4 linked regions of the Tamandua tetradactyla genome follow. The protein of the gene in region 2 purifies or fractionates together with the protein of the main gene of each other region. This does not show direct contact. Links are inferred from orthologs where the notes say so. Each region holds a gene or a part of one and is shown on either strand. Other genes may lie near its edges.

What was found.
Region 1: the proteins of PPP2R1A (region 2) and NDUFAF1 purify together in Homo sapiens (affinity purification with mass spectrometry; 3 studies listed by BioGRID and IntAct, with this or other methods). This does not show direct contact. The link is inferred for Tamandua tetradactyla from reciprocal best matches to the Homo sapiens genes PPP2R1A and NDUFAF1.
Region 3: the proteins of PPP2R1A (region 2) and MTCL2 purify together in Homo sapiens (co-immunoprecipitation; 3 studies listed by BioGRID and IntAct, with this or other methods). This does not show direct contact. The link is inferred for Tamandua tetradactyla from reciprocal best matches to the Homo sapiens genes PPP2R1A and MTCL2.
Region 4: the proteins of PPP2R1A (region 2) and PRR14 purify together in Homo sapiens (affinity purification with mass spectrometry; 5 studies listed by BioGRID and IntAct, counting the BioPlex papers as one, with this or other methods). This does not show direct contact. The link is inferred for Tamandua tetradactyla from reciprocal best matches to the Homo sapiens genes PPP2R1A and PRR14.

Annotation. Positions count from the first base shown.
Region 1 is NC_135340.1:55,000,396-55,007,596, forward strand, and holds the start of NDUFAF1 (complex I intermediate-associated protein 30, mitochondrial), read right to left. Parts: upstream 3,017-7,201; 5' UTR 2,923-3,016; exon of another isoform or gene 2,884-2,922; intron 793-2,883; 5' UTR 717-792; coding exon 141-716; intron 1-140. UniProt on the Homo sapiens protein: As part of the MCIA complex, involved in the assembly of the mitochondrial complex I.
Region 2 is NC_135342.1:8,986,152-8,993,929, reverse strand, and holds the start of PPP2R1A (serine/threonine-protein phosphatase 2A 65 kDa regulatory subunit A alpha isoform), read right to left. Parts: upstream 3,001-7,778; 5' UTR 2,917-3,000; coding exon 2,839-2,916; intron 1-2,838. UniProt on the Homo sapiens protein: The PR65 subunit of protein phosphatase 2A serves as a scaffolding molecule to coordinate the assembly of the catalytic subunit and a variable regulatory B subunit.
Region 3 is NC_135327.1:15,452,355-15,460,343, reverse strand, and holds the start of MTCL2 (microtubule cross-linking factor 2), read right to left. Parts: upstream 3,005-7,989; coding exon 2,330-3,004; intron 1-2,329. UniProt on the Homo sapiens protein: Microtubule-associated factor that enables integration of the centrosomal and Golgi-associated microtubules on the Golgi membrane, supporting directional migration. Preferentially acts on the perinuclear microtubules accumulated around the Golgi.
Region 4 is NC_135349.1:23,881,250-23,888,334, reverse strand, and holds the start of PRR14 (proline-rich protein 14), read left to right. Parts: upstream 1-4,083; 5' UTR 4,084-4,190; intron 4,191-4,580; exon of another isoform or gene 4,581-4,691; intron 4,692-4,997; 5' UTR 4,998-5,046; coding exon 5,047-5,069; intron 5,070-5,191; coding exon 5,192-5,360; intron 5,361-5,980; coding exon 5,981-6,102; intron 6,103-6,171; coding exon 6,172-6,376; intron 6,377-6,648; coding exon 6,649-6,692; intron 6,693-6,892; coding exon 6,893-7,002; intron 7,003-7,085. UniProt on the Homo sapiens protein: Functions in tethering peripheral heterochromatin to the nuclear lamina during interphase, possibly through the interaction with heterochromatin protein CBX5/HP1 alpha. Might play a role in reattaching heterochromatin to the nuclear lamina at mitotic exit.

The sequences.
Region 1 (7,201 bases), on a different chromosome or scaffold from region 2:
TGCATTCTAGAAGTTTTAACAAACTGAAACAATGTGCCAGGTGTTTTCATTTACTGGAACAAAAGCTGCCTGCTTAGTTCATGTCACAACAAAGTTCACCCCATATCACTAAGAAACCGTAGCCACTGCACCTCACCTACCCTTGGAATCCTGGATATCATTGCACAGTACCCACTGCGGCCACTCTCCCCGTCGTGAGGTGCTTCAGTGCTCAGATTTCCATACAGTAGTGCACTTTGGTTATTCTTGCCCATTTTCAGGAACACTTCACTTCTACCTCCAATTGTCTTATCAGAAGTCACTATCCACCTATCTAAATCTTCTTTTCCACGGAACTGCCAGACAACCTTAGCTTGTTCCAGCAAGACTTCATGTAAAGGGTGGCCTTCAGGCCCTTTCCAACGATTCACAAAATCATCCTTCAAGCGCCTAAAATGGTCCTTTATTTCTTCTTGAATTGCTTTTTCAAAACTAATTTCAGGCTTTTCATCAGGAGAAGGTATGTCCAAAGCAGCTTCTCTATGGTGATGTCCTTGCAAACCCTCTTCAGTCTTCCTCTGAGGGGAAGCTTTGCTAGGAGCAACCACCGGTTTCTGAAGACCACTGGAACAATAGTCTGCAAAGTGAGTACCCAGGAATAGATGTGAGGCAGCACTTGGCATCTGGCATTTTCTGAGAATATATATGCCATTCAGCAATTTGTGAACCAAAGCCATGGTAAGAAAAAGTCAAAATGTAAAATTCTCCCTGGACCACCAAGGAAAGAAGCTTCAATGAACAGCCCAATTCCACCTGTAACAGAAGAGACGTTGAAAGAGTTACCGTGTAGCAATGAATGCATTACAATTTCAATTTCAATCCAGGACAGGTATGATGACATTCATGAATTTATATTCTAATTCTATAAACATTTATCCAGCACCCACTATGAGCAAAGCATATATTATGCATTGTGAATAATACCAAGATGAATTTAAAGATGAATAAAAAAAAAACACAGGCTCCATCCTCACGGAGCTAAAAATGAATCCCAAAATAATTCAAGTATGTGCTGAAAGCTATCTTGAGAAGTTGTGTCAATTTTAAAGCAAATGTTCACGCTGGATTTCTTAAAAAACAATAGGTTCCTAAAACAAAATATTCAATTAATCACTGTAGGACGTGGGCCAACAGACTTAAAACTTTAGCACTTCACCTATAAAAAGAAGGGCTATATTTGTGTGAGCATTGTAAGGGGAGTCAGAAAAACTAGACTGGATACCCAGCTGTGCCCACTTATGGGGTTGTAAATGTTGTGGATATCAACAATTTCATATAGCTAAACTTCATAATGCTGTTTATCCTCAGGTAAACCAGTTGATCTTTTGAGGTCTTCTGTACCTACATTAAGGGATTCTTCTGCAGATGAGACAGAATAACAGCAATGAAAGGCTGTGCTGATTTAGTAGGCCTGATGAGGGCCCCAAGATTCTGCACGTCTAACAAACTCTTAGTGCAAGGCCTACACTCTGAGTAACAAAGCTTTGATTATCAGTCATTATTTTGAGCTTCTCAAAGATGGATCATGAACAGTAGTAGCCATAACACCATCACCTCGCATTTAAATATTATTCTATTTTCAAATCATCTTACCTCATTTAATCCACACTAGACTACTGTGAGACAAGTCAAGTAGATAATTTCTTCCTGTAGAAAAACTGACACCGAAAGATGAAGTAACTTACCTAAGATCACAATGCTAATCAGCATGGGAACTGGAACTAGAACCCAGGCCTTAAATCCTTCCACCAGATGCTGTTGCCTCTCTATATGTAAGATATTAGTAATATTATGTCCATAGTTCTCATAAAATAACAACTTTGCCTTTACCAGCAACATTTATGCTAATATTACATAATATTACATAAGGGCTATGAGAGGTAGGCACAGGAGCTTATGAGAATATAGAGGAAGAACGGTGTCAACTCTCTTCAAAGACCACCAAGAACATGCCAGTAGTTGAACAAGTTGGATTTTTTACTCCTTGTGCAGGAACAATCATAGGGAATCATGGTCATCTCAGTAAGAGTGTTAGAGAGGTCTTATAGGATTTGTGCATGTGTTATGTGATTTGGGGGAGCATACTGTCAGGAAGTGTGAGTAACTGTATGATCTTAAATCTTATCTAGAAGGAAAGAAGACTAGAGTGAGGTTAATGCCATAATTTGTAAGGAAGCAGCATTCATTCATATTAGCCAGGATGGGATGTTTGGTCATTTTTGTGGTCGGAACAATGTTCATGATTTTTGCTTCCTTCAAACATGATTATGGAGTGGTCTTGTTTTTTGTTCTGTAAACCCACAACTTCTCTAACAAAGAAAAATAAAGTAATAAATAATTTTTTTAAAAAAACATATTTTAGGGGGAAAAAAAGAAAGGAAGAGGGGAAAAGGCTTAAAAATTGTCTGTAAGGTGACGGGATTGAGTAACATTATTGGCTCTATTTTCCAAATCCTCAATAATACGGTTCCTTCTAATAATATAACTTTAGTTATAAATGTTTTCCTTCATATTTTTACCAATAAACACAAAGTAAAATCCATTAACTGGATACCCGGCCAGATTAAAGGTGAGCTTTGTCGACAACGAGAAACAAGCTTGTTAATAAAGATTGTAAATCCATGTGCCAGACACTGTGCTAAACGTATTTTCACTGATTCCTCACAACAACCCTGAGCGAGGTACCATTTCAATGATAGAGATGAGGAAGATTAAACTACCCGAGGTAACACAGTAAGCGCCAAAACGAACACTGGGGCCCGGCATTCAGCACCCGGCCCAGGTCGGGGGGCAACCCAGACCCTGCCGCCTGCCACGCGAGGATGGGCTTTTGCCGCCCCTCACCTGCCAGAGCAGGGTCGCCCTCCCACATCCCGAACGTACTATTCACCAGTGAGTCAACGCCGGCTGCTAGGGGTGACTTCTTCCCCGGTGCCCCACTTTTTTCCGTCCAGTTCCCTCCCGATTTCCCGTCCGGCGCTCAACCAGGCATTAGGACACTAAAGTTCCGGCCCGATGCATAACCCGGGCAGGTTAGCAAGAAAGCCGGAGCCAGCCAAACTGAGGCTTTTGTCCCGCCAGCTCCCCAATAGACCCTCTCTCTTCTCTGTCCCTCCTGATTTTTTCTGTCCGATGTAAGAATGGAGAAAATTTAGAGTCGTTTTTTTGTCTCCCCTTCCTTCATCTCACTTCCGGCTACAAATCCAATCCTTGCATCTTTCAAACAGAACCCAAATATTGCCAGTTCCCCTAAGACCCCAAGTTCCCGGGTCTCCTCGTGCCCGCTGTCCACGCACCTACCCCCAAGAGCTGTCCATGGCTCAGAGAGCAGGTTCTGCTGGAAGTGCCCCCGCGGGATTCCTAGATACCCACCACGCATCTACACAGCAAACCACCCTGCCCACCCCGCCCCAAATCCACCCCGCGGGCCTCCCATTCTGCAGATTCTATTATATCTTGGACATATCTCTGTTAAAGAACTTTCAACTTTTTTTTTGTATTGTGGTAACATAATGCAACATAACATTTCCCATTTTAAGCTTTCAAGTATACGAATCAGTGGCATTAATTACATTCTTAACATTGTATCTTATTCATTCACTTCTCTCTTCCTCTGTCTCTCTATGACATTCTTAGGTCCAGACTATGCTGGCCTTCCTTTCCCCAACACTTAACATAGTGTTGCAGGACTTAAGCATGCGGCAAGAATTTGAGTAAATTGTAACCACTGGCAGTCTGCTCCCAGCCCTATCCCCAATACAGCACATTAAAACGGTTCTTTTACAAAGTTCCTAAGAACCTCTCTAAAATTCAACTTCCTTTTCCAAGTTTCTTCCATCACTAGTTTCCATGACTTCTCCTCTTTAAATTCTGCTTTGGCTTCTCAGACTCTGCAATGCCTCTCTTATTCCCTCAGACTTTCCTTATCTGCCTCCTTCACTGGCTCTTTCCTTTTTCTCTTCCCACAACCTTAAATAGCCTATCTCCAAAGCCCAGTAGGCATTTTCTTTTCTAGCCCCAAATATGTGTTATCTGCATATAGTTTGATAATGTCTTTCCTTGGGTACCCAGCATACATTTCCACCGATTGCTATCTATTCCTGCTTTGGGATATACCGCTGGCATCTCGAATTCAAGAACAATGTCTAAAACTGAATGCATCTTATTTCTCCATGTTAATTCCTCTTTTTACCATCCCTATTTCTGTAAAAGCTCACATTCTTCTAGGTTGAAAACCCTTGACTATCATTAACTCCTCTCCTTAAAACTTCTTCTCACCAACACTAAATTCTATTGAGATCTTGTTGTCTGTTTTTTATCTCTCTCCACCCTTGTTGAACCTAATGTCACCTGTGATAGTTTGAATTATGTACTTCAGGAAAAATAAAGTAATAATCTTAATCCCATTCCCAGCAACATGACCCCATTATAAATAGGGCCTTTTGAAGATGTTATTTTTGTGTAAGGTGTGACCAACTGAATCAGGATGGGTCTTAATTTTATTACAGAAGGCTTTATGAAAGAGAAGCCACAGGGAGGAATTGGAAGCTGTAAGTCATCTGGAACCCAAAAGAGAAGGGAGAGGTCATCAACGGGAAAACCAGGGAATCCCAAGGATGGCCAGCCTGCCAGAACACAACTGACCCAGGAGAAAGCAAGCTGTTGAGCCTCTAAAACCATGAGACAATAAATGCCCATTGTTAAGCCAACATATTGTGTGGTATTTGTCATAGCAGCCAAGAAACTAAGACAATGCACCAATAGTTAGCGCCCTTATACAATTTATAGGCAGTCTACTAATTGCTGTACTCTGGCCGCATAACAGTTTGTCTATCTTCATTTTAAAACACTGCACCCAGAACTGACCATCATTTTCCTTGGCCTTCTATAATCTAACTCTATCTATACTATTCATATTTATCTTCAGTTTCCCATGCCAGCTGGCATCTACCTAAATGACAGGTATTTCTTCTCATAACGGAGCTTAATGTTTTCTCTGCTTAGCATCCTTCCCTCTCCCACATCCCAACCATGTGGTCCCATATGTTTAAATGACCCTTCCCCCACCTCAGCTGATTGGTCTGCACTGAGCCAATCAGAATTCTTCCTCTGGGTTTTCTGATGTGAAATTGAGAAATAATTCATGCCAGAGGAGAACAAGATTCAGCAATTTTAGCTCTTGATGGAAACAAAAAAAATCAGGGTTCCTTTGGAGTTATAGAATCCAGCAAGTGAATGGGTGTGATTTTCAGGAAAAAAAATGTTACTCATGGGGGTTTTCAGGTCATGGTGGTGTCACTACAGGTGCAGGGTTAGTATGCTGAGGGTCATACAGTCTATAAGACTTGCAAACAGAACGGCAAATTGCCCTTTGCTGATCTAGGAACTTGATTTTATCCATTTATTCAGAAGATTACTTTGTGCCAACCAAACTCACAGGAGTTTGGACAAACAGGAATGTCCATTTATTCATCTACAATAGGAAATGGGCCCAACTTGATGTCCAATATGATCTGCCCAAAACATTCCTTCTTGGTGGGGAAGCCCACCCTGCAGGCTGGACACAGACCAGAGAGGATAAGGAGGCACATAATTAGGAAGACCTGGCGGTGTTCAAGTGAACTTCCAGTAAGCAAAATGAATTATTTGTCCCTCTTCTGCTGATATTTCTATATACAGCACTGAGGCTAGGCATTTGGCAATCCCACTTCAATATATATACATTGAATATAGATATATATCTCTCTGGGGACACAAATATATTATTTTTCTATGACTCTTGTTTTAGTTGACACCAAGTAGGCCAACCCCTACACATCCCCCAGCCATCAGTCAGCACCACAATCACTTCAGACTGAAGCAGTTTTACCTCCTTTACAGTTACAATCCAGAAGGCTCTATCACAGTCCCCTCCTGACTTGGATTTGGGAAAGACTTTGCTACCTCTGCCACACCATTCCATCTCCTCAGACTGAACTGCAATTGGCAAATTCTTACTTGCCAGGGTAAAAGGAATGTGCAGATTCAGTGGCTTCATTTTCTCGCTGGTATTTCCTAACCTGATCTTCACATTCAGGTGTTGAGCCTAAGGAGAGAATATTTAGCTGGGCACATGAATGCAGATTGCATTTCACAGCAGCCTCCTTAGCACTCTACCTCAATGGAAATGGAAATGTCAGGCGAAAACTTCGGGGAACTCTCCTTAAAAGACAACTGGCATGTGTCTTCCCCTTCCTACTCTATTTCATCTTCCTGCCTAGAATTTGGAAATGACAGAACTCCATCTTGGGCTATGAAGTTAAGGGCAACCTCCTAAGAAAGGAGCAGAAAGCAGGAAGGAGCCTGGAACCCCAGACTTTGGAAAGCAGAATTGCCAAAACAGCCCTGGATTGCCTGCATCTAGACTTTAACATGAAAAAGAAATAAACTTCTCTCCTCTTAAAGCAACTGTTAATTTGGATTTATCACCTCCATTGACCCTAACCCTAAACCATATATCCAAGTATGTGCCACTGTTGGTGAGTGAATAGGTTGATCCATTTTGCCTCATTTCTTTTTTAAAGAAATCAGCACATCTAGGTGGACCCAAAGGGAACTATAACCCTCCTAAACCGATAGAACTTTCTGCAATGATTGAAATGTTCTTTATCAATGATGTCTAATATAGTAGCCACCAGTCACATGTGGATTTTGAGTACTTGAAATGTGGCTAGTACAATTGAAATATTGAATTTTAACTTTACTTATTTTAAATTAATTTAAGTTTAAATAACCTCATGTGACTAATGGCTACTGGATTGGATGATATATTTCTAGATAATTGAGAGAGAACTCTGAATTAGTCCTGAATCAGTCAGTATGTGAGAACCAGAGATTAATAAACATGTTATGGGAAGGAGAATTAAACCAAGTATGAATTTTAAATGATGATCATTTCTGCTGATTTAGCTCACAGATCACAGAGCCAGGCATCTAGTATACTATTTCTCTTAAAACCTTCCTCAGTCTTGTAAGATATATGCTTTTGCCGCTATTTTACTGCTGAGGAGAATGAAACTCAGAGAGGTTAGGTGACCCTACCAAGTTCATAGAACCAGTGAAGTGGCAGAACTGGCCTCTGAATGCAGGTCTCGTAGGCTCTGTGGACTCCTTTTGATCATGG
Region 2 (7,778 bases):
CAGCTGTAGCCTCATCAGGCAGCCCAATACCCAGTACTCCATAAATATAAATTCCTGTGGAACAAGTTCAGCTTCACTGACCTCAATGCAGTAACATTTAAAACTGCAAGGATTAAACAAACAAACAAAAAAAGCTAAATTAACTGATGAAGTTAAAAAAAAAAAAGCACACTCACCATCCCCTCTTTACCACTTTGTCCCTCAATCTCCCCCTTCCAATGCAGTGACTGTGGGGGGCAGAATAAAGCCCCACCAGGATGTCCACTACCCAATCCCTGGAATCACCAAGTATTATGCAGCTTCATGAAGCAAAAGGGAGCCTGCAGATGTGATCTGGGTAAGGACCTAGAGAACACCTGGGCAGACTCAATATAATAACATCGATCCTTGAAACTCAGAGAATCTCTCCGGACTGTGAGAGAGGGAAAGGAGACTATGAAAGAAAAATCAGGAAGAAGGACCCTCACTGGCCCTGAAGATGGAGGAAAGTACTAGATGGGGAAAGCCTCTAGAAGATGGAAAAGGCAAGGAAATGGTTCACTTCTAGAGTGTCCAGAAATGAAGATACCCCTGCTGACACCTTGATTTTACCTAGTCAAGTCACCATGTCAGAACTTTGGACCTACAATACTGTCAGATAACAAATTTCTGTTGTTTTAAGCCATTACATTTCTTGCAATTTGTACCAGCAAATCTGGTATCTTTGTTCAAATATTACCTTCTCAGCACGGGCTCCCCTAACCACTCTTTTTAAAATTGTACTCCACATTTCTCTTATTTTTCCTCATAGTATTTATCCCTGTTTCACATATTATTCAATTTACTTATTTTGCTTACTGTTTATCTCCCAGCCCTAGTCTGATAAGCACCACAAAGCCAGGAAATGTCCTTCTCATCCTCTGCTAAACACCTGTGCCAAAGACAGTGCACAGCTGAGGCTCCAGATATTTGCAGGCCCACTATCACATCGTGTTTGTTTCCTGCCCACCATGTCTCATATGTGTGACTATATTTAGCTGTCGACATGCTTCACACCTGTCTCCTGAAGAGCAACCAGTGTCACTGCTATTGCCCCAGCACCATACCTGAGGCTCAGCAGATGTTTACTGAACACGTGAATTCACACAACTGCCTGGCCGACAAGACATTTATCCCCATTTGTCAGAAGAAACCAAGACTCACCTAACTTGTCCATATCAATCAGCAAGAAGTTGAAGAGAGAGGAGTACAAACTGACCAAGCAGTCAGCTTACTCCTTGCATGCCTCCCCACTCCCTCCTGGGTCCTGACTAATCTTGCAGCTCTGGGACTGCACACAAAAACAACTCCAACTGCAAGGGGGTGAGGGGTGGGGAGCACCGGACCGCCGACAAGACAAATGGAAAAAGGACAACTTTAGGCCCCAACAATTGTAAACAGCAACTTCACCCCCGAGCTTCCTCTCCCCTCACCTGGCTACCCAGGCACCTGAGAAGCTCCTAATTGGGAGGTTCCTTAGCTCCCTCCTTCTTTCTCCTGGCCCTTACAGCAAAAGAAAACATTCCGAACCAGGTGGTCCAGAAGGCAACCAGTAAATCCCTGCTCACATTGAAGGAACCAACCAGGCCTAACTGCAACCTCAGCAAATCCCTTCCCCCATCCCAGTGATAAAACCCCTTGCTATCTTCCTAGGCTTTTCCTCCAACCCACCTCCAGTCCTTAAAAACCCGGCTTTCCTTTTTTCCGCAGAGTTGAATTTAACTCTCTCCCTTTGCTGTAACAGCCACTGGATAGTCATTCTTGCCTGTTTAACACCGTCAAGTGCCATTTTTCACTCGACAAAGGGGAGCCTGTCTGACTCCAGAATGAGAGCGAGGCACCCAAAACCTCCGAGCCCTGCCCGGCCTTGGAACATTTCCCAGTGCATCCCCCTCGATTTTATAAGTGGGAATCTGAGGACGAGATGGAGGATGGGAGGCTTCACGCACTGTTCACAATAATTACGGCTAATATTTGCTGGGCCCTTACAATCGGCCAGAAGCCGTCTGTTTTACTAATATTTTTAACGCAATCAGTCCTCACAATCACCCAGTGAGGCCAGGACTATATCACCCCACACTGCCTGGAAAAGAGGCTCAGAGCGGTGAAGTAACTCGCCCAAAGTCACGCAGCGTGTGGGCGGTGGAGCTGTGACCGGCCCCCCAGGTCTATCAGGAAGCCCTAAGCCGGCTCAAAGCCCCCCTATATATAACACTCCCCCAACAACCCACTCAGGAGAAAATCGTGAGCCGGCTGAGGAAAGTGGGGGGATAGGGTGGAGGGGAAAGGGGGCGGGTTGCTACAGTGCTGGCTTCCCCCCGGTGCGCCCTCCTCCTCTTTGAGGGTGTACATCAAAATGGGAGAGGAGGGCAGGAATGGCGAAGGCAGCCCATTCTGGGGGCCCACGCCGCGGCCCCGCGGAAACCCAAGAAGAAGAAATCACACCCAAGTCCTGGCCAACACGGCCGCGCCCGCTCCCCGCCCAGTCAAGGGGCCACTCCGGGACCTCCGCCAATCACGGGGCCCTACCCACCCTCATCCCGTGCCCCCACCCCGGCCTCCCAGACCCCCGGCTACCGCGCGCGTTCGGCAGGCCCAGGACCCTCCAGGCGCGCCCATGCTCCCACCCCCCCGCTGCGCCGACTCCCAATCCGTAGCGCCGTCTCATGGGGTCCGGGGACCCAGAGGGATGAGAGCTGGACGCTGATTGGCCGCCAACTCGGCCGCCACTCCAGGCGAAAGGCGATCCCCTCCGCGAGGGCCTCCAAGGGCCTCCATGTCTCCCTTGCCGTCTTCCCCGAGCCCCTACAGCCTTCTTACTTGCACATCTTCATTGCGGAGCTCATCTATGAGCACCGCGATGGGGTAGAGCGAGTCATCGCCGTCGGCCGCCGCCATCTTGGCTCCGTTCCGTTCGGGTCAGACCGCAACCAGCACAGTGCTGTGGTGGGGCGGGGCCGGGGGCGGAGGAACGGCGAGCGAGGGGGCGCTCGGGCCAATTTACAGGGGCCGCCCCGCGCTCATTGGCTGCGCTACGCCGGATGTAGCCCGCGTTTCTTTGGTCCGAGTAAATCAAGTCCCGCCCACTGCCCATTTGCCATTGGTTGAATGGACGAGCTTGGGTTGGCCGGAGCCTAGCAAGGGGCGGGGGGAACCGCAATACCAGGTATCTTAGCAACCAGCCGCCTACGTTGCCGCTGGCAACGCGAGATGAACAGTGGTTTCTACATCGAGGGGCGGGACCGGGCGGAGGCGTAGCCCGCCCTTGGCGGAGTCCGGGAGAAGGCTTCTGTGCGTGTGCCGCCTGGAGCGCATGACGTCACCTAGGGGTGGGGTCCCCACGCATTTTGGGGTGTCGGGCGGTGGCGCTGGAGTACCTGTGAGGGAATTGAAGGGAGCGGGAGGTCCTCAGGTTATCCCTGGGATGGAGGAGACTTGCCTGGTTCTCTGAGTAAAACCCAAGAACCCCGTGGATCCGACCCGCTCGCCCTCTTAGCCACATCTCGCTCCTCCCCGCCTGAGCACTTCCTGCTTTTTTTAGCCTACAAGCCTTTCCCAAGTCGCACTTCAAACTCCTTAGAGTGCAGCCCCTGTTCACTCGTCAGATGTCTCCATAGAGGTCTCCCCTGTCTTCCCTACCTTCTGCCTTCGTCCTCTGGGCCTCCCTCCAGCAAGAAAAAACCCTCCCGGGGCCTGGGGCTGTCGTTCTGAGTGGCCGTCTGTCTCTTCAGGGTGGGCGCGGGGCGTACCTCACTCCACACGGTCACCCCACCCCTCCCGCAGCCTCGGGACCACCCTGTGGGCGGTGGGAATGGGAAGCCCACTTGGTCATTCCCACCTGAAGGGTGAGGCTGAGCCAGGACCCCCCTCAACGGGTCTGCACACCCCCACCCACTCGGGTCAGGAAACTACTACGTGTTAAGAGTGCATGTGTGAGACTCGGGGTATTTCAGCCCCTGCCTTCCGTGTTCCCAGGCTTGCCCACCCGAGCCCACCGAGGCTGTGGATCTTAGCTGGGGGTTAGGGACGGTTGCCTGCTGTGATGCTGGACTGCTCGGGTTTTGTTTGGGTTGGGGGGTTTTATCTTTTGGGTACCCAGCGCAGAGGAATTTTCAAAAAAAGCCGCTGAGGCTTTTTTTTTTTTTTAACAGCTCTTTAAAACACAAGGAAACTTAGGATTTAATAAATTAATATGTATTCCAGGAGAAATAGCTAGGTTCTATGAGGCTTTGCTTTTTTTTTTTTTTAAATCTCATACAAAACTTTGGGAAAGAACAAATGATTGGCTCCAAATGCCCAAGGAAAATTGTTAGTTTAATAAGTATTTTCTTAAGAAATGTCCATGCAATGACAACATGAATGCCAAATGATGTGCACTTAAGTATAATGAATTGCACTTCCTCCCACAACCCTATGAGATAGGTAAAGAACCATTATTGCTACCATTTTATGGATGAGAAAACTGAGGCATAGAGAATTTAAGAAATTGTTTCAGATCTCTCGAATGGTAATAGGGCAGCTGAAATTCAAATCTGAGCTGACCCTGATGTCCTACTTGAATAAAATGAAAGCTTTATGTAATAGTATAAAAATTATACCTAGTTTGAGATTTGGGATTATTTTGCTACGTCTGAGCTCATTTCAGGGTAGGGGTACAGTCAAACAAAGCCAGGAGATTCTTGAACAATGAAACATTCTTTGCTTTATGTCTTGCCTTTTCTTTCCTGATCATCATTCTCTAATGTCTAAAATGGGACAATCCACTATTTGGAGGAATAAACTGGGGGTGGGGTGGGGTGTGTACACTAACGATGGATTATTAAGCAACTCCTCATAAGAACCAGTTAGATCTCTATGTACTAAGAGGAAAAGTCGAAGATCTATGCTATGCTAACAATGGAAATTGCAGAGTAATATGTTTGGCATGAAGGGGTATGTGTCTGTGGACGTGTGTGTACATGGGTATGTCTGGATAAGAATGTAAGCAGCTCTGGAAGAATATGCACCAAGATAGAACATTGCTTACTTTGAGGGTAGAACAGGTCAAGAGAAAAAACTTTTTTTTTCCATCCCACTTTGTTTTTATTTTGTCTATCTGAACTTTTATAATAGCCAGATGATGCCTTTGTGATTAAAACGAAAGTCATTACAACCAATGATCATGGTTGTTACTAGTTTGCTAGTTGCTGGAATGCAATATACCAGAAACAGGATGACTTTTTAAAAGGGGAATTTAATGAGTTGCTAGTTTACAGTTCTAAGGCCGAGAAAATGTCCCAATTAAAACAAGTCTATAGAAATGTCCAATCACAGGCATCCAGAGGGAAATACCTTGGTTCAAGAAGGCCGATGAAATTCAGGGTTTCTCTCTCAAATGAGAAAGCACGTGGCAAACACCGTCAGGGTTTCTCTCTTGGCTGAAAGGGCACATGGCAAATACGATGTCATCTGCTAGCTTTCTCTCCTGGCTTCCTGTTTCATAAAGCTCCCCAGGAGACGTTTTCTTTTTTCATCTCCAAAGGTCACTGGCTGGTGAACTCTCTGCTTCTCGTGGCTGCGTAATCGTCTGCTCCAAAATGTTTCCTCTTTTATAGGATTCCATAAACTAATCAAGACCCACCCAAATGGGTGGAGACACGTCTCCACCTAACCCAGTTTAACAACCACTCTTGATTAAATCACATCTCCAGGGAGATGATCTGATTACAGGTTCAAACATACATAATCCTATTAGAAATAGGGATTAGAAGAAATGGATGCCCTTACAAAATGGGATTAAGATTAAAAAATGGCTTTTCTAGGGTACATACATCATTTCAAACCAGCACAATGGCATTATTCACAATTGCCAAAAGATGAAAGCAACCCAAGTGTCCATTAACAGAGGAATTAAGAAACAAAATGTGGTCTGTATTAGTTAGGGCTCTCTAGAGAAACAGAATCAACAGGAAATATTCATAAATATAAAATTGATTAAAGTATTTCACGTAATCATGGGAATGTAGAGTCCACAATCCGCAGGGCAGGCTGTGAAGCTCATGATTCTGATGGAGGGTCTGGATGAACTCCACAGGAGAGGCTCGCTGGTGGAAGCAGGAAGAGATCCTGTCTCTTCTGAATCCTCCTTGAAAATCTTCCAGTGATTAGATTAAGCATCACTCATTGCAGAAGACACTCCCCTTGGTTGATCACAAATGGAATCAGCTATTCATGTAGCCGACATGATCATGATTTAATTCTATGAAATGTCCTCATAGCAATAGGCAGGCCAGCACTTACCCAACCAGACAAACAGGTACCACCACCTGGCCAAGCTGATACATGGACCTGACCACGACAGTGGTCTGTCTATCCAGCAGAAAATTATTCAGCCAGAGGAAGGAATGAAGGTATGATACAGGTGACAACATGGCTGAACCTCGCAGACATCATGTGAGAGAAATAAGGCTATAGACACAAAAGAATAAATATTATATGGTCTCATTTATATGAAAACATTAGAATATGCAAATTCATAGAGTCAGAAACTGGGAGACAGGTTACCAGGGGCCAGGGTAGTGGTCAGGGAACGGGGAGTTAATGCTTACTTGGTACAGCATTTCCATGTGGACTGATGGAAAAGTTTTAGTAATGGTGGTGATAGGAGCCCAATATTACAGATGCAATTAGCACCATTAGCTGTCCATTTCTGAGTTTTTACATTCAGTCCTGTTGCACAATCTGTATCCTTTCAGCTCCAATTACCCAATATCTTACTCTATTTCTATCTCCTGATGGTCTCTGTTACCAGTGAAATTCTCCAAGTTTATTCACTAATGTCAGTTGATATCATTGAGACCATACATTATTGGTCCTTTTGTTTCTGGCTAATCTCACTCAGCATAATGTCCTTAAGGTCCATCCATGTTGTTACATACTTCATAAGTTTATTCTGTCTTAAAGCTGCATAATATTCCATCTTATGTAAATGTCACAGTTTGTTTAGTCAACTCTCTGTTAATGGACATTTTGGCTGTTTCCATCTCTTCGCAATTGTAAATAATGCTGCTATAAACACTGGTGTGCAAATGTCTGTTTGTTGTCCTTGCCCTTATGTCCTTTGAGTAGATACCTAGCAATGGTATTGCTGGGACATATGGCAATTCTATATTTAGCTTTTTGAGGAATTGCCAAACTGCCTTCCACAGTGGTTGCACCATTTGACATTCTCATCAACAGTGGATAAGTGTGCCTCTTTCTCCACATCCTCTCCAGCACTTGTCATTTTCTGTTTTGTTGATAATGGCCATTCTGGTGGGCGTGAGATGATATTATCTCATTGTTGTTTTGATTTGCATTTCTCTAATAGCCAGGGAAGTTGAGCATCTCTTCATGTGCCTTTTGGCCATTTGTATTTCCTCTTCTGAGAAGTGTCTGTTCAAGTGTTTTGCCCATTTTGTAATTGGGTTGGCTGTCTTTTTGTTGTTGAGTTGAACACTCTCTTTAACAATTCTGGATACTAGACCTTTATCTGATATGTTGTTTCCAAATATTGTCTCCCATTGTGAGCACCACTGAATTTTGTATTTGAAAATGGCTCAGATGGGAAATGCTGTGTTGTATATATATTACCTGAATAAAAATTTAAAAAGTCCACAGATTTGTATAACATGAACCGTGAACCCTAATGTGAACTATGGACTATGGTTAATGGTATAGTAGTAATATTGTTTCATCAATTGTAACAGAGGTACCCCACTGTGCTGGTTTGAAAGGATATA
Region 3 (7,989 bases), on a different chromosome or scaffold from region 2:
TGCTAGTGCCTGGTACACAGGAGGTCATAAATAAATGCTTGGTGAATGAATGAATGAATGAGGGGTTAGGAGACAGAGCCCAAATGCTTCAGCAAGGGATGAAGAGGACCTATTCTGCCCAGAGCATCCCCAGGACAGGTGCACAGGGGAATATGTCACACACCTTTGAGAATAGCAGTACTCACACCAGCTGTCTCTGAGGCTCACACCTGCCAGCTCCTCTAGGGGTGCTTTGCACACATTATCCCATTTAACCCTTAGGGCTGGAAGGTGTCATTATCCCATTTTTACAAATGAGAAAACAGGTCCAGAGATGTTAAGAAACTTGTCAGGGGTGGGCCACGGTGGCTTAGCAGGCAGAGTTTTTTCACCTGCCATGCCGGAGACCCAGGTTTGCTTCCTGGCGCCTGCCCATGTGAAGAAAGAAAGAAACTTGTCAAAGATCAAAGAGCCAGGATGCTACAGACACCAAAGATCTGCACACACACCCTGAACCAGTGGGGGTGTCTCCAGCTAAGCCCTGGCCCCTTGGGCTTGGGTTCAAATACCAGCCTTCTGGGACTGTTCCCTCATTTGAACAGTGCTGGGGGGGGCTCAGACAGGCTCCAGAGTGTCGTCTGATGACTTCCTGGGGGGGGTTTCTAAAAGAGTTGCTGAAGCAAGGCTCTGGGACCCATGCTCCCTCGCCTGGGCAAGCAGTGGGCAAGGGGGGAAGAGCTCAGGGTCTGAGTTCAACACAGCGCGGGCAGGGGGTGCTGGAAGCAGCTCAGAGTACCCGGAGGACACAGCCAAGAGCCCTCCTTCGTGGTTTTCTCCGGCCTCCCACCCAGCTCCACCTACCCTCACCTCACCACTGGCTTCCACAGACTATAAGAGTTGGCTGAAACCCTGATCATCCATGGGGAATGGCCTTTGGGAAGACTTGCAGTCCCATGTGACAGATGGGGAAACTGAGGCCTGGCCTGGGGAAAGGCTAGAGGCTGAAGAGGTGGATTATCCTGACTCAGACACACCCTGTCCTACTATTCTACACGTAAATATTGAATGCCTGCTGGGGAGCAGATCCTGAGGAAAAATGGGGAGGGACAGACACTGCTGAGCAAGACCCCCACACTCTACCGACGGGGAAACCCATTTGGCCAGAAGAGCCACAACACAAAGCAAAGTGTGGGCCACCGGGCAGACATCACCCAGAGAATGCTCGTAACGTTGGGGCTCTCAGCCAGGGTTTTCTGGGTGCTGTGCCAGTCCATCAGGTGACGAGAATGGCAACACCGCAGCCTCTTCCAAAGCTGCACCCGGCCAGGGGCAGCAGGGCCTGTGAACGTACAACCTCCCAGGACGAGGGATGACATCCGAGGGCTAGGCCGTCCCTACAGCTGTCACAGTGCCAGGCGGTGGGCACACAGAGCCTGGCCTGCACCCGGCAGGTGCTCAGTCCACAACGTGTGCGAGCACAGCCTGCTGTCCCAGGAAAGCCCACAAGTCCCCACACGCCCAGTGGGGATGCCTCTTTCAGGCAGGCTTCTCTTCTCTCAACCAGGGAACACAAGGACACAGGCACTGGCCAAGAGGGGCCAATGGGACTGCTGCATGCACAGGGCCTTCCCTGAGGGGCACAGGACAATAAGCGTGAATCCCCTTCCTGCACGGCCTCACATGGCCAGGGGGCCAGCCTAGGATTTAGGAAGCTGCCTCAGAACCAGTTCTCCCACGACATCATCCTCTCCGGCTATAGGACCGTTAGACAGGGCGGAAGTGGGACTCTGGCCAAGGGGATGTTCCCAGATGTCATGCTTTCAAACCGGACCCGCCCTGAGAGGCAGGCGGGGGCAGGCCCGCGCCAGGGAAAGCCCTGGCTGAAGACTCAGGATGCTGTTCTGGCCTCTGCTTGGCAGGGAGAGCCTGGTTGCTCCCAGGCCACACAGTCAGGTTCATTGGCACCCATGCACATGAATGCCTATCTCCAAAAGGCCAGCCACGAAAGCCTGGGGGGCTCTGAGTAGCGGGATGCAGTCATCCAATCCCTCACCGACCACCTCCAAACCAGCTTTCTCAAGCCCCCTTTCCCCCAAATGCCAGAAACATTCAGGGCCCCCCTTGGCCAGCGTCTCATCCAGGTTCCTTTTCCCAAGAGAGCTTCCCCCAAATTGCGTGCACGCTAAGAAGACAGAGGGCCCCAGATGGATCTCAGGGTGGTCCCCAGAGGGTTTGGGTCCCTTTCTCCAGCCCCTTCAGTGGGAAAGTGGGCCAGCTGGGGCCTCAGACCCATGGGGCTGTGACAGCCGGTGCCTCCTGCGGCCTCCCTTTGCCCCCACAGCTTCCCCACCTTGAGGTAGTCGTTCTCGGAGCGCAGCTCCTCCAGCTCGCGCACGAAGCCGCCGGGCCCGCAGTCCAGCATCTCCTCGGTGAGGTCGGAGAAGGCGAGCGAGGCGCTGAGCGGCAGGCGGCTGCTGCCCACGGACGACGCGGCCACCGACGGCTCGTCGGGGGAGGCGGGCGGTCGCGGAGGCTGCTGAGCGGAAGGTGCCGGCTGGGGGGGCTGCCCCGCTCGGGCCCCGGCCGGGCCCCCGGCCGCAGACTCGGCGTCGCTGCTCAGCGCCAGCTCCAGGCCCAGCAGGCGCGCCTCCTCCGACGCGCAGTCCGACACCTCCGAGCTGCTGTCGGTGAGACTGGGTGGCGGCGGCGGGGGCCGGGGGCCGGCTCCAGGCCGCGGACGGCCCTTGGCGCGGACCCCCGCGCGGACCCCGGCCACCCGCGCCCCCGGGCCCCGGGCCCCAGGCGCCGCCGCGCGCCCCTTCTTGTCCGGTCGCGCCGAGGACGCGGCGCTACACGCGGCGGCAGCGCCGGGACTTGGGCCGCGGCGGCCCTTGGCCAGAGACCAGCCGGCCACGTCCTTGGGCCGGGCCGGCGACGGCGCGCGGTGGCTCTTTTTCCTCTCAGGGACCGGCGCGGGCGGGGGCCCGCAGCCCCGGGCCGGGGGCTCGGCCGCCGGCGCCTCCATCGCCGCCTCCCTCGGCCTCAGCGAGCAGTGGGCATGGCCCGGGCCCGCCCGGCCTCCGCGCCCCTGGGGAGGGTTCCGGAGCCGCTCGGGCCGCTTCAGCCCTGGGGCTGCGCTCCGATCCCGAGCCCGCCGCACGGTCTCCCGGCTGCTCCGCGCGCGGAGGGAACCAACCGACCGCCTCCAAGCGCCGCGGCTCCGGCTCCGGCTCTGGCTCCGGCTCCGGCTGCGGGTCCGGCTGCGCCCGGCGCCCGTCCCCTCGGCCTCGCCGCGCCTCCACAGCGCACCCGCGCCCCGGCCGCCTGAGCGCGGATCGCCCTCTCGGGCTCCGAGTCCGGCTGCGGCCCGGGCCCCGGCTCCGCCCGGCGCGGCCCGCCCCCCGCGCAGCCCCGCCAGCTCCCCGCCCCGCCGCCTCGGCTCGGGGGCGCGCGGCTCGGCGAACAAAAGGCGGACGCGGCGGGAGCGGCGGGGAGGGACGCAGGCCGGGAGCTAGGGAGGGATCTGCGAGGCAACAGCGACCCCCTCCAGGGTCAGGCGGGCCCGGGCAGCCGCGGCTCCGGCGCCTCCTGCTCGGCTCGCCCGCCGCCCACCCCCTCCAGCTGGACTGGGGGAAAGCCGGAGACCGCGTCCCTGCACACCCCTAGACCCTCGCCCGGCGCCGAGCGTGCGCTGATGCACGAATCCCGCCCCCCTTAATCTTGCAAAGCAAGGCCGATTATCCCACTGTACAGATGCAAAAACTGAAGCCTTAGCCCAAGGTCCGTGACGAGCCAGGAAGGAACCCCAGCCTCACACCTCCTGGGTATACGCGGGCCCCTCTCCGTCGTCGGCTTCCTTTCTAAGGGCGTGGGGGCCATAGAGCCCTGGGTGCGTGCCCCCCTCTGCACACTTTGGCGGACTGTCACGCCGTGCATGCTGCACCCCGCCCCCACCCCTTCCCTGGCTCCAGTTTCAGGAGCCCGGTCACGAAGTGTCAGAAGAGTGGGGGCTTTGGGGGCTCTGGCCCCGGCGTGGGCTCGCAGGGCTGCGGGACGGTTGGCCTGACCCGCGTGTGTCCCTGCGAGGCAGCTCCAGAGGAGCTTTGTTTCTTTCTTTCTGGGGCTGTCTCTGGGACTTCCTGACAGAGTTGTTGATTTTCCGCGTGTCTGTCGCACCTTCCGCACCCCCCCATGCCCGGCGCCTCGCTGCAGCTCCCTGAGCTAGAGTCAGTCCAGCCTTTTCCTCTGACGGCCCCGCGGGTGGGCGCCCCCTCCGCAGGGCACCTCCTCGCCACGCAGGACGGCAGCAGTGTGCTCATCCCTTTGCAGCCTCGTCCTCCTCTCCCCATTCGCCCTTCCCCCACTTCCCCCCTCCTCTTTTTCTCCTTCTCCTCCATTTTCTTCTCCTTTTCTGCCTCTTCCTCCTTTTCTCTTCCCTTTTCTCCTCCTTTTCCTCCACTCCCCCGCCCCCTTTACCTCCTCCTTTTCACTTTTTTTTTCCTCCTCTTTTTCCGCTTCCTCCACCTCTGCACCGGGCCTTGGCACACAGCTGACACCAGGCCCACCTCTCTGTCTCTGTCCCCCTCACCCACACTTACAGTGAATACATTCCTGGGGTGTTCCCTCTTGTGTGAGGCATGCCTTGCCTCCTGACCTGGGTGCATAGGCACCACCTCCAGCCTCAGATTCTCTGGGTGTCCCCCACTGAGCCGAGAAGAGAGCAGGACCCAGGCTCTCATGGTAAGGCACGAGCTCCCCTGCTCCATGAGTGTCCACTCCCACCAGCACCCCCCCAGCCCTGTTTGCACAGGTGGAACACCGAGGGACATGGCAGTGGGCTTGTCACTTCCTGACTTCATGGAGCACACAGATTGAAGGGAAGATGGACCACAAAAGATTGCTCACAAACAGGGTGTGTGCAGCATATGACAAGGGTGCTGGGCAGTGACGTGGGCTCACTGGGCTTCCTCTCTGTGACCCAGGGCAGCCCTCCCCGTCCCTGGGCCTCAGTGTCCCACCTGGTCTGGTCTGGTCTGATGTAACAGATGACAGGTGCCTTCCAGCTCTGATGTCCCCGGCTCTTGCAGGCTGGTTCTGGTCTGGCACAGACAGATGCTATGTAACTCTTGGAAATTGTTCAGTTTCTGTGCTTCAGTTTCCTCCCTCTGCTGAATGTGGGCTTGGAGGTGTTGGATGGTGTGAAGCCATGTCTGCTCTGTCACTCCTAACACCCCCTTGGCCACACCAGTGGTCCTGAGATAAGGGTGGACCTGGATCTCCCTGCTGGGACTGGGCCTGACTCCCGGTCCCAACATTGATGGCAGAGCTGGGGGCTAAGGATCTTCACTGCTCTGACGTTCCTTGAATTTGGGGAGCCATCAACCTTCACTACAGCCCCAGGAGAGCCTGGGGAGCAGCAAGGCCCTCGAGAGGGGGGACCAGGGAGACCACCAAGGGTCCAGTCCTTGCTGGGAGCCCAGGATTGGCTCCATGAAGGCCGGAAGCCCATCCTCAGCTGCCAGCCAGCCTCGTGGTTACCCAGCCTGGTAGTGCCCACTATATGCCAGGATCTGTGCTCAACACGTCAATAAAGGATCTCAGAAAGGTTAAGGGACTTGTCGTGGCTGATTTTTTTCCCCCAAAGACAGCCACACCAATGTATATCTCACCCCAATCACTCTTCTTACAGCATGGCATCCATACTTCCCACTGAGGGGTGGGCTCTACATTCCCTCCCCCTTGAACCCGGGCAAATCTCTGTGACTGTCTCAGCCAGTACAGTGTGGCAGAAATGACATTCTGTGACTTCCGAGGATAGGTCACAAAAAGCAAGGTGGCTTCTGTCCGGCTCTCTTTCCCTCTCTTGGGCCACTTGCCCTGGGAATCCAGCCACCATGGCGTGAGGAAGCCCAGGCCTCATGGAGAGGCCACGTGCAGCCAGCAGCTCCAGCTTGGCCCCGTGTCACCCAGCAGGCATGGGACAGAGCGAGCCTGCAGATGATTCAGCCCCCAGCCTTGGAGCCGCCCTCTCTGACCTCAAGTGGAGCAGAAATGAGCTGTCCCATCAAACCTGCCCCAGTGGCAGTTTTGGAAGAAAGTAAATGTTGTTGTTTTCAGCTACTAAGTTCTGAGGTAGTTTGTTACGCAGCAGTGGGTAAATGGAATGCTTGCCCAAGGTCACACAGCTTACAAGTGGGATCGATTTAAACCTAGGGCCACATAATTCTGGAACCTGTTTTGCTGCACTATTGGGCTGTAAACTGTTTGGTGCCAGTACAGGGTTGTGTTCTATAAAGCTTTACTGAAGAAAGAATGGAGCGTTAAATTGTTGTAAGAATTATATATCAGAATGTAAGAAATGAAGATGGTGATTAGCTGGTGGAAAAGATTTCATTTCTCCTATTCAAGCTGCTTAATTGATCAACATGATGGAAACTAAATGGAGATGAAATCCTGGAAGGCTTCAAATAGGAGGTGATTTTTAAAATAATTTAAATGAAAGTTTGCTTGCATTTTTCACTATACAAATCATGAAACAAAAAAACATTGGTTGGGGAGAACTTAGAGGAATCAGTAAAGAAACCTACTTTCACTAGGGTAGTCAGGGAGACTCTTTGAGGAGGTGACATTTTAGCTGCATTATTCAGAGCTAGGAGAAGAGAAATCCAGGTGGGGTTCCCCCTGCAAGGGCAAAGGCCCTGAAGCAGGAACAAGCTTGATATACGTTCAAGAAAGAGTAAGAAAGTCAATGTGGCTGGCACCTGAAGAGTGATGGAGAGAGAGGAGCAAGATAAAGCCGGGGAGGGTGGCAGGGACCAGGCCATGTACTTGGCAAGGCTTTATTCTTGGTGCGGTGAGAAGCCATTGGAGATTCGAAGCAGGTGTGGTAGAATCTAACTTCTCTTTTAAATAGATCACTCTAGCCGCTGTGGAGAGCAGATGCCAGGAGACAGGCTAGAAGAACATTCCAGTCTCTGAGAGACGATGGTGGCTGAGACGAGGGTGGAGGCAGTGGACAGGGTACTCTCGAGCTCTGTTCTGGAGGAAGACTCAAGCAGCCTGGACTGGAAGTGAGGGATCAGAGAAACCAAGTCAAGCTCAACTCCCAGGATTCCGGCTTTAATTACAGGATGAATGCTGGCACCATTTAACACGGCCGGTAATACAGGCCTAGAAATGGTTCGGGGGTAGAGAGACTAGGTATGGAGGGCGAGTGAAGTGTCTTCCCGGGTACCTTCAATTTGAGATGCCTATGAGACAGTCTCGTGAGATGTCAAGAACGCCTCTGACAGGAGTTGGGGTTCGGGGTAGCAGTTGGGTCTGGAGTCATGAAGACTCATGAGCATTTAGACGCTATTTAAATCCATGGGACCAGGGAGGTCTCCTAGGAGGTAGAGGGTCTACAGAGAGAGGAAAAGCCAGCCTAGAAACACACAGTTATCAACTCCTGGTTCTGGACCATGAATAGTAGAAGAGGAGGAACCAGCCACCAAAGACGGAGAGGAGGTGGCCAGGGAGGTAGGAGGGGAGCCAGACCACATGTTGTCAGGCAGCCAAGGCAGTAGCATAGATTAGCAAGGAGGGAGAGGTGGGGGAAGGGCTCCATAACAAGAAGCTGCGGAGAAGCTAGAGGAAAAATCGACAGCAGGGAAGTGCCTCCTGGAGTGGGCAACATGGTGGCTGCTGGTGACCTTGAAAAGAGCAGTTTCGGTGGAGAGATGGGGCAGGAGCCAAAGGCTGTGGACTGAAGAGTAAATAAGAGGTAGAGGCAGAGTATAGGGAACCCTTTTGTGAAGTGTGGCTGCAAAGGGGGAAGAAAAACCCAGCAGTTATTGAAGGAGACTGGGGGTGGTGGTGGCAAGACATGGATGAGGTAGGAGGGAGGGGCGGATCCGGGGATGGGGTGTCAGCCTTCAAAGGCAGCAGGGACCCCTCCTCCATCATCGGGGGGTGGGACAGCAGAGAGGTGGGTTAGGAGCAGGTGTGTCCGTCCGTCCGTTTGGAGGTGGG
Region 4 (7,085 bases), on a different chromosome or scaffold from region 2:
GACTTCTGCTGCTTTTACAAATGGCTTTCCTTCTTAGTTTATTAAAGCTGCTGGAATGCAATATATCAGAAAAGGAATGGCTTTTAAAAAGGGAATTTATTAAGTTGCAAGTTTATAGTTCTAAGGCCATGAAAGTGTCCAAATTAAGCCACCAACAAGAGGTTACCTTCCCTCAAGAAAGGTGATACCATCTGGAACACCTGTCAGCTGGGAAGGTATGTGGCTGGCATCTGCTGGGGTCTCTGGCTTCTGGACACCTCTCTCAGGTGGTAAAGCACTGGCAAAGTGTGTTAGCTTTCCTCTCCTCATTTTATAAGGCTTCCCCAGGGGCGATTTCCTCCTGCATCTCCAAAGGTCTCTGGGTGCGTGGGCTCTGTTGGCACTAAAGCTCTTTCCAAAATGGTTCCCTCTTAAAGGACCCAGTAAGCAAGCCCACCTTGAATGGGTAGAGACACATCTCCACGGAAATCACCTAATCAAAAGTTACAACCCATAATTTCCATGGAAACATTAAAAAAGATCCCACCCAACAATACAGAATGAGGATCAAAGAGCATGGCTTTTCTGGGGTACATAACAGTTTCAAATGCACACACCCTCTGAAACATTCGTATAGTGATTTCAGGAGCGACTTTCAAACTTGGGACATTCATTTTATTTAGCGCTAAAATACCAGTTGGTGATGGTAAAAGTCTGGGTACAGTCGGGAGAGAGAAGTCACCCAGCAATTTCAACAGGGACAGTTTAATACAAAGAATTATCAACTACAACAGGAAATTAGAGAAAAGAGGGATTAGATAGTAAGAAATAAAGAGAACTCTAAAGAATACAGGAAGAGTGGATATGAACAGCAACTGAGACAGAATGTCCAAGGAAAAGCCTCCACCCTCCCTGGGGCTGAAATCCAGGACTTCTAAGAAAGAGCACAGAGGTTGCTGGGTGCCACTCTGGTTGGAACTTGCTGGAAACCTGCATTCCATGGTCCTAGGGAAAGCAGTTCACAGGAAAACATCTTATCAGAGGCACAAAACCATCAGAGGGAGTTTACAGGAAAAGCAGGCACACAGAAAATCAGCCTGTACCAGAGAAGCGGAGAGCTGGAAAACCTATTCGCTCTGCAGGAGCCTGCCAATAGAGCCCACCAGAACCAGGGAGCAAAAACTCTTTTACTGCAATGCCTCCCAAATGGTGTATTGACAAGTCTTAACATGGGACCAGTTGGCATAGAAAAAAATATTTAAAGGCCCCAGTTCCACTTTCACAGAGCAGGCAAAATGGGTGACTCTGGAGCTGAGAGGTTTTTAAATGAAGAACCAACACAGTGACATGCCATTGTTTCAGATAACAACAGATACCTCTCCTGGCCTTTCTTGGCTTTCCCTCCAGTCCTTCCAATCTTCCTCCCTTCCCTGACATCCTCACTATGAGCCCTACCACTTTATCATGCAACTCCTTCCGAACTGCTCCCTGCCCACCATCTCCCAGCCCCCCCCCAAAAGCCAAAGATGGAGCTGGTGGAAGGTTAATCTCTACACTGGGGCAGAGAGGGAGTCAGACCATGGGGAGGACCAGAGAAGTAAATATTATAGCAACCTGAAGTAGCTGACCAGAGGCAACAGTCTGGAAAGGAAGGGGCTGAAACCTGACTGGATCCGTTACTTCAGGGTGGAGAAGACGGAAGTTGAGGGAAGTAGAGACAGTGGCAATTCCGTAGATAGGGATAAAAGGCAGTGATATAAACTGAGGGAACAGGCACCAGGTTTAGCTCCAAGGCAGAGCATCTGGGAAGTGTTGAATTGCTGATGTCTAAAGTGCAAACCAGGGCAGCAACTCAAACCCAAAGCTTCTGATCCTTCCACAGGGGCGGTTCTTAGCAAAGGTCTGTAATGGACTGTCCCAACCATTTCAACACCCTGCAGCCACAAACCAACCTGACCCAACCCCACCCTACCCCTGCTGATCAGGAGCTCAGGCTAGAAGCTTCTACAGAGAGAGGTACTGAGCAGAGTAGTACCAGGGACCTGGTACCAGAAGGGGCAGGGGTGCTCTGAGAGGAAGAGGCAGTTGTCATCTTTCTCTTTTTATCTGTAGCCTGACATTTAGATCATTTATCAAAAACATTTAAATGTGTTTTCTCACTTGATCTTCAAAGCGCATTTTGAGATAAGAATGCAAAGGTTTATTGTTCCTATTTTATGAGACCACTGAGGCCAGGAAGAGTTAAGCAGGTAAGAGATCCAGAATTTCAAGGAGAATGAAACACTTTTGTGCCCTAGCAGCCAATCTCTGGCCACATCATCTTACTCCCCTATAGGTGGCGTGAGGCCTCTTACACTTGGATTGGCATATGTTGGCCACACCCTAAAATATGTACCCAGTTGGTGGTTAAGATAGGAATTGTTGAAATGGTAGTCACAAAGAGGGCAGAGGTGAATGCTGGCCCAAGCTGGGGCCAAGACTGCCACAGTCTGCTTTAGACTTCAACTTGATGTACCCCAAAGCCCCAAGCGTGGGTCATGGCAAGGGCCCTCAGTATCAGATTCTTAGGCTCAGGTCCTTTCTTTTAACTATCTCCATTGCCCTTGGTGCTGACTTCTTCAAGAGACTGGGATAATCAATTCAGATCAGGCCTGCTCTGTCCTTGAAGGTTTCTCCTGCCTTGGAGCTTGGAGAGCACTGGGTATTTTAGCAGGAAAGCCTAAAGAGAGGGTCTCAACTCACCAAAGCCACCATGCCTCCAAGGCACATCCTCAGGCACTAGACAGCTAGCCCTGACCTAGGAGTAGAGTGAGAAGGCCTCTAGGTGTAAATAGCTAAGACTCCTATAGTGGATCTCCAGAGGGCCAAGCAAACCTGGTGTTACAAAGAGAAGCTGTAGCTCCGGGAAGACATCTGTCTTGATGAGTCCTTGGGGCATTGGGGAGTCTTCACTGACCCACCAGCTCTCCCAGATTGTGCTCTTTCCATATCATCTTTTCTGTTTCATTAGTTGGGCGCTCAAACTTCTGATGATTTTACAGGACCGGGTGGGTGCCTCTGCATGTTTCCACTTGGTCTCAGATCTAGGATTCCAGGCTTCATGTTCTCTTGCTCTACCCAGAAGAAAAATTCCTTGATTTGGGTCACGGAATCCTGGGGCAGGAGAATTGGTAGCGGTATGGGTTTTGATTAGGCGGTAAGGGTGCTTTCCCATGAAGCAACCAGTATATTCCGACTTCCTCCCTACCCGCTCTTGGTAAAAGCTCCCACAGGTGCAGTCTTTCGCCTCTCCTAAAAGCGGAATCCCGTCCGCGATTCCCTACTGAGGAATTATTTACACCCCCATCTAGAAGCCAGCGGCTCCTTGGAGCCGAGAATAGAAGCGGGCGGAACGCCAACGCGCACGCCAACGTGGGTTATCGGTCTTCTGCATGACGCCCCTATACTGAGCCCTCTGCGCGGGCCGCAGACCCCGCCACAACTCCGGGAAGAGGTACACACCCTTCAGGTGAAGTGAAGCTCACTGCCCCAGCTTCCTCCTCAACCTCCATTCAGCCCAGTCTCCCTAGGACCTCGCGCGGAAAGCGGGGCCGGGGGGCATAGGAGCTCTAGGCGGCTCGGACTTCGGGGTGCCCGCCGCCCTCTCCCCAGCTCGGATCCCACGACATGGGAACTCCGTTTTGAATCTGTGTGACCGAGGGTAGCAGGATAGTCCGGAAAGATACAGGAACCAGCCTCAAATGAAGCCTCTCTAGGAAACTGGGGATTTCTCCTATCGTCAGCACTCAGTTCACGTTTATTGGCCTAATGACCAGAGGACCGGAAGATGCCCTTAAAAAATGTGGCGGCACTCTAGCTTCACTACAGCTGCTTCAGTAATTCAAGAAACCTGGAGCAGCCTTCGGCCATTGACTGGCCTTCAAAAAAAATGATGCCACCCTGTTCACTTCGGTTGATCGAGGATTACAATCTCTGCCCTCAACCAAAATGGCGACTGTGCCCAATTCGGCTCCTTGCCCCTAGGGATAATGGCCGCCGAAGCGGCTTCACTTCGCTTCTCTCCACTCCGGAAGACGGAGATTGTCGATTGGGCGGTGCCCGAAGGCTCAGAGAAGAAGGCCCTTGGCGGTTGGGCAGGGTTGGGTAAGGCTGGTTTTAAAGGAGCCGGGGGGTGGGAGCCGTCGAAGACCCGGGATCCACGGGAGGCGGCGGTGAGTGGCGCGCGGGGGAGGGCACGGGGCCGCTGGAGAGAGGGCGGGAGGAGGGGTGGGGGAGGAAACATTTGCACCATCTGGTTCCCGGGTGGGGGGAGCGCTGGGCGGGGATCCGGGGAGGGCCGGGGTGGGGGGGTGTATGTGGGCGGGACCTCCCGGGATTGGAGTGAAGGGGTATCTGCTTGACAGTGGATCTCCGGGGATCCGGACTGAGATCCGTGATGCTCAGGCTCGGACCGCCCCTGGCTGAGTGGAGCTTCGCAGAGCCGGAGCTAACCGGGGGAGGAGAATCCTCGCGCGGCGTCTGATTGGAGGAACCGCGCTGTAGGATTCTGTCCTCCGAGATCCAGTCTATGGGATCTCGGGGCGCGGGGGACCGTCGGTGTGTGGGAGTATTGCTTCGGAGGCCTCCGTCACTTGCTGGGAGTGAAGAAAGTATCACAGAGGGAGCCGGCGGAAGCGGCGCCTCCCAGGACCGGGATCCCAGCGGATCCCGGGGTATCTGAGGGCGAAATCTGCAGGGACAAAGGCCCCGGGAAGCTCGGGCCGTGGGGGTGAACTGGGGCGCCGCAATACAGGTTCTCGCGGCAGGTGCCCGGCAGGGCGCGAGTAATCCGCTAATCGCGGCGGCTGTGGCGGCGGCGGCGACAGCGGGAAGACACCCGCTTCGGGAGGCCGGCTGGGGGCGCCCTACCGCGTCTCAGGGCTCTGGCCCGTGGGCTCCCCGGCGCCGCGGGCGGACCATGAAGGGCGGAGCCCCGGGGGAGGGGCTGGCCCTCACTCCCCGCTCCCCCCCTACCCCAGGCTGCAGCCTGGGATCCCTCAGGGACCCCCCGGAGCCGCCGCTTTCCCCATGGACTTGCCCGGGGACTCCAGGTGAGAGCGCACCCCGCCCGCCTGTTTTGAGCCCGGGAAAGGGGGAGCCTGGCGACAGTACCGGGAAACCAGAGAGCCGGCGACCGGCTCAGTCGGCTGCCTCTGCTTTTCTCATCCTTTAGCCCGCCCGGCCCACCGCGTCTGTGCCGCCAGCCATTGGCCCGAGCATTATGGGGAGCCGGGAACCCGAAACGGCCGAGGCTTCAGCCCCAGGGAGCTCCTTCACCCCTGGAAAAGGCCTCTCGGCGGGTCCTGGCCGTGGTGCTGGAAGATGTCATGGCTGCCCACATGGTGAGCCCCTGGACTGAGAGACACCTCCGACATACGCGCGTGCGCGCACATGCGACTCTCCTCAGTGTCAAAGTCAGACCTACCAGAGTCCCAGTGAGGATAACTCAAGTCCAAACACCCCAGTCCCATGGCCCAGGCGGCCTCCATAGTGCTAGAATTCTCTTAGGCTCTCATTTGCTCCAACCTAAAATTGGGCAGGGTCTCCTGCCCCTAGTGGCCACCCACAACCCTGGTAGGCTGGCCCCACATCTCTGTAACTCAGTCCCAGCAACCCTTTGGCTTCCTTCTCAGCCCAGCCTCTAGGCAAGCCTTGGGAAGTAGGGTGAGGTCATTGACTCCACTTCAAAGGAGCGAAAAGTGGAGGCCCAAATTATGGCAGTGACCACTCCAGGTCACCTTCTGCTTTTCTTTTCTCCAAGCAACCAGGGTGAGAAAAATTACCCATGTCACATCCCGGCAGGTTAGGATACTCTAATTTTGGGTCCTTAATTCAGTCTAAGTTACTTCTTTGGGGATCTCAAGTGAATTCTAGCCACAGCCTCTGTCCTCTGTGTGGCTGGGGGCCCTGCACAGCCAACCTCATTCTGTTAGCCTGCACTTGACCCTTTATCTTCTCCTAGGTCCCCTTGGTGCCCCAAGAGGAGACTTCTGCTCTTCGACATCACAGCAACCATCAGGATTCTGCCTGTAGCCAGCCACCTGCCTTGCCACCCCAACAGGCCATGTGGTCCCCACAGGCCAGGTGAGCATGGGGATCAGGCAGAGCTGGGGACATGGCTGAGCCCCTCTGACCCTCCTGCTCCCTCTCTAGGCCTCCAGACCCTCTGCACTTGTGCCGTGAGCCCTTGAGCCGCATCCACCGGCCCCCTGCCACCCTGAGGCGGCGACCAAAGACAACCCCTGGCCCTGAGGAGGGCCCTTCACAAAGGGTGGACCAGGCCCCCCAGCCCACCCTGGTGGTGATGCTTGAAGACATTGCTGGCCCTAGATCCTCAGCCGAGGCACGGAAACTTCAGGTAAGGATGTCAAGTGTCAGAGTGCTGGGAGTAGGCATTCCACGGAGACAGAGGACAGAGGTGAGAAGCCTGAGTCTGGGGTGGATTTTGCTCAGGGCAAGAATGACAGTAGTTTACATGGGAGATGCTGTCTAAGCAAAGACCTATTTGGAAAAGTGTTTGATGTGAACCCAGGCATCTGGAGTCCAAGAGATGGAGATGGGGTGTGGGGAGCTAAAGAGGCTGAAGGATAACTTCCCTGCCTCCCTACAAATATCCCCTTTTTAATCCAGGGCTCTATCGGTGAGACCCCCAACTTCATCACCCCAACGCAAAGGTAAGAAAACTGGGGAAGGGGTCATCAAGATGTCCAGGCCACAGCCATGGTCCCTGGCAGCCAGGTTTAGGGACAGTAGGAGTTACTTATCCAGTCCTTTTTTCTAGCACCATTAGAAACCTTAAGGACAGGTGCTGGCTCAGGTGAGATCAGGGCCTGGAAGCTCCCCCAACCTTTCTTTACCTTGCCCTTTCACCCAGAGCTGAGTCCATGATGATGGTTCGCCAGCCCATGATTCCACCCAGGGACCTGGAACTGCCATTCCAGCCATCTACCTTGCCTGAAGAGCCTTCAGAGAGCACACCGCCAGGTCAGGATTTGGGTAGGGGGATGAAACTTGGGGCTCTGGGAAATCCTAGCTGACCTTGAAAGTGTCAGGTGCAGAGGTGGGGG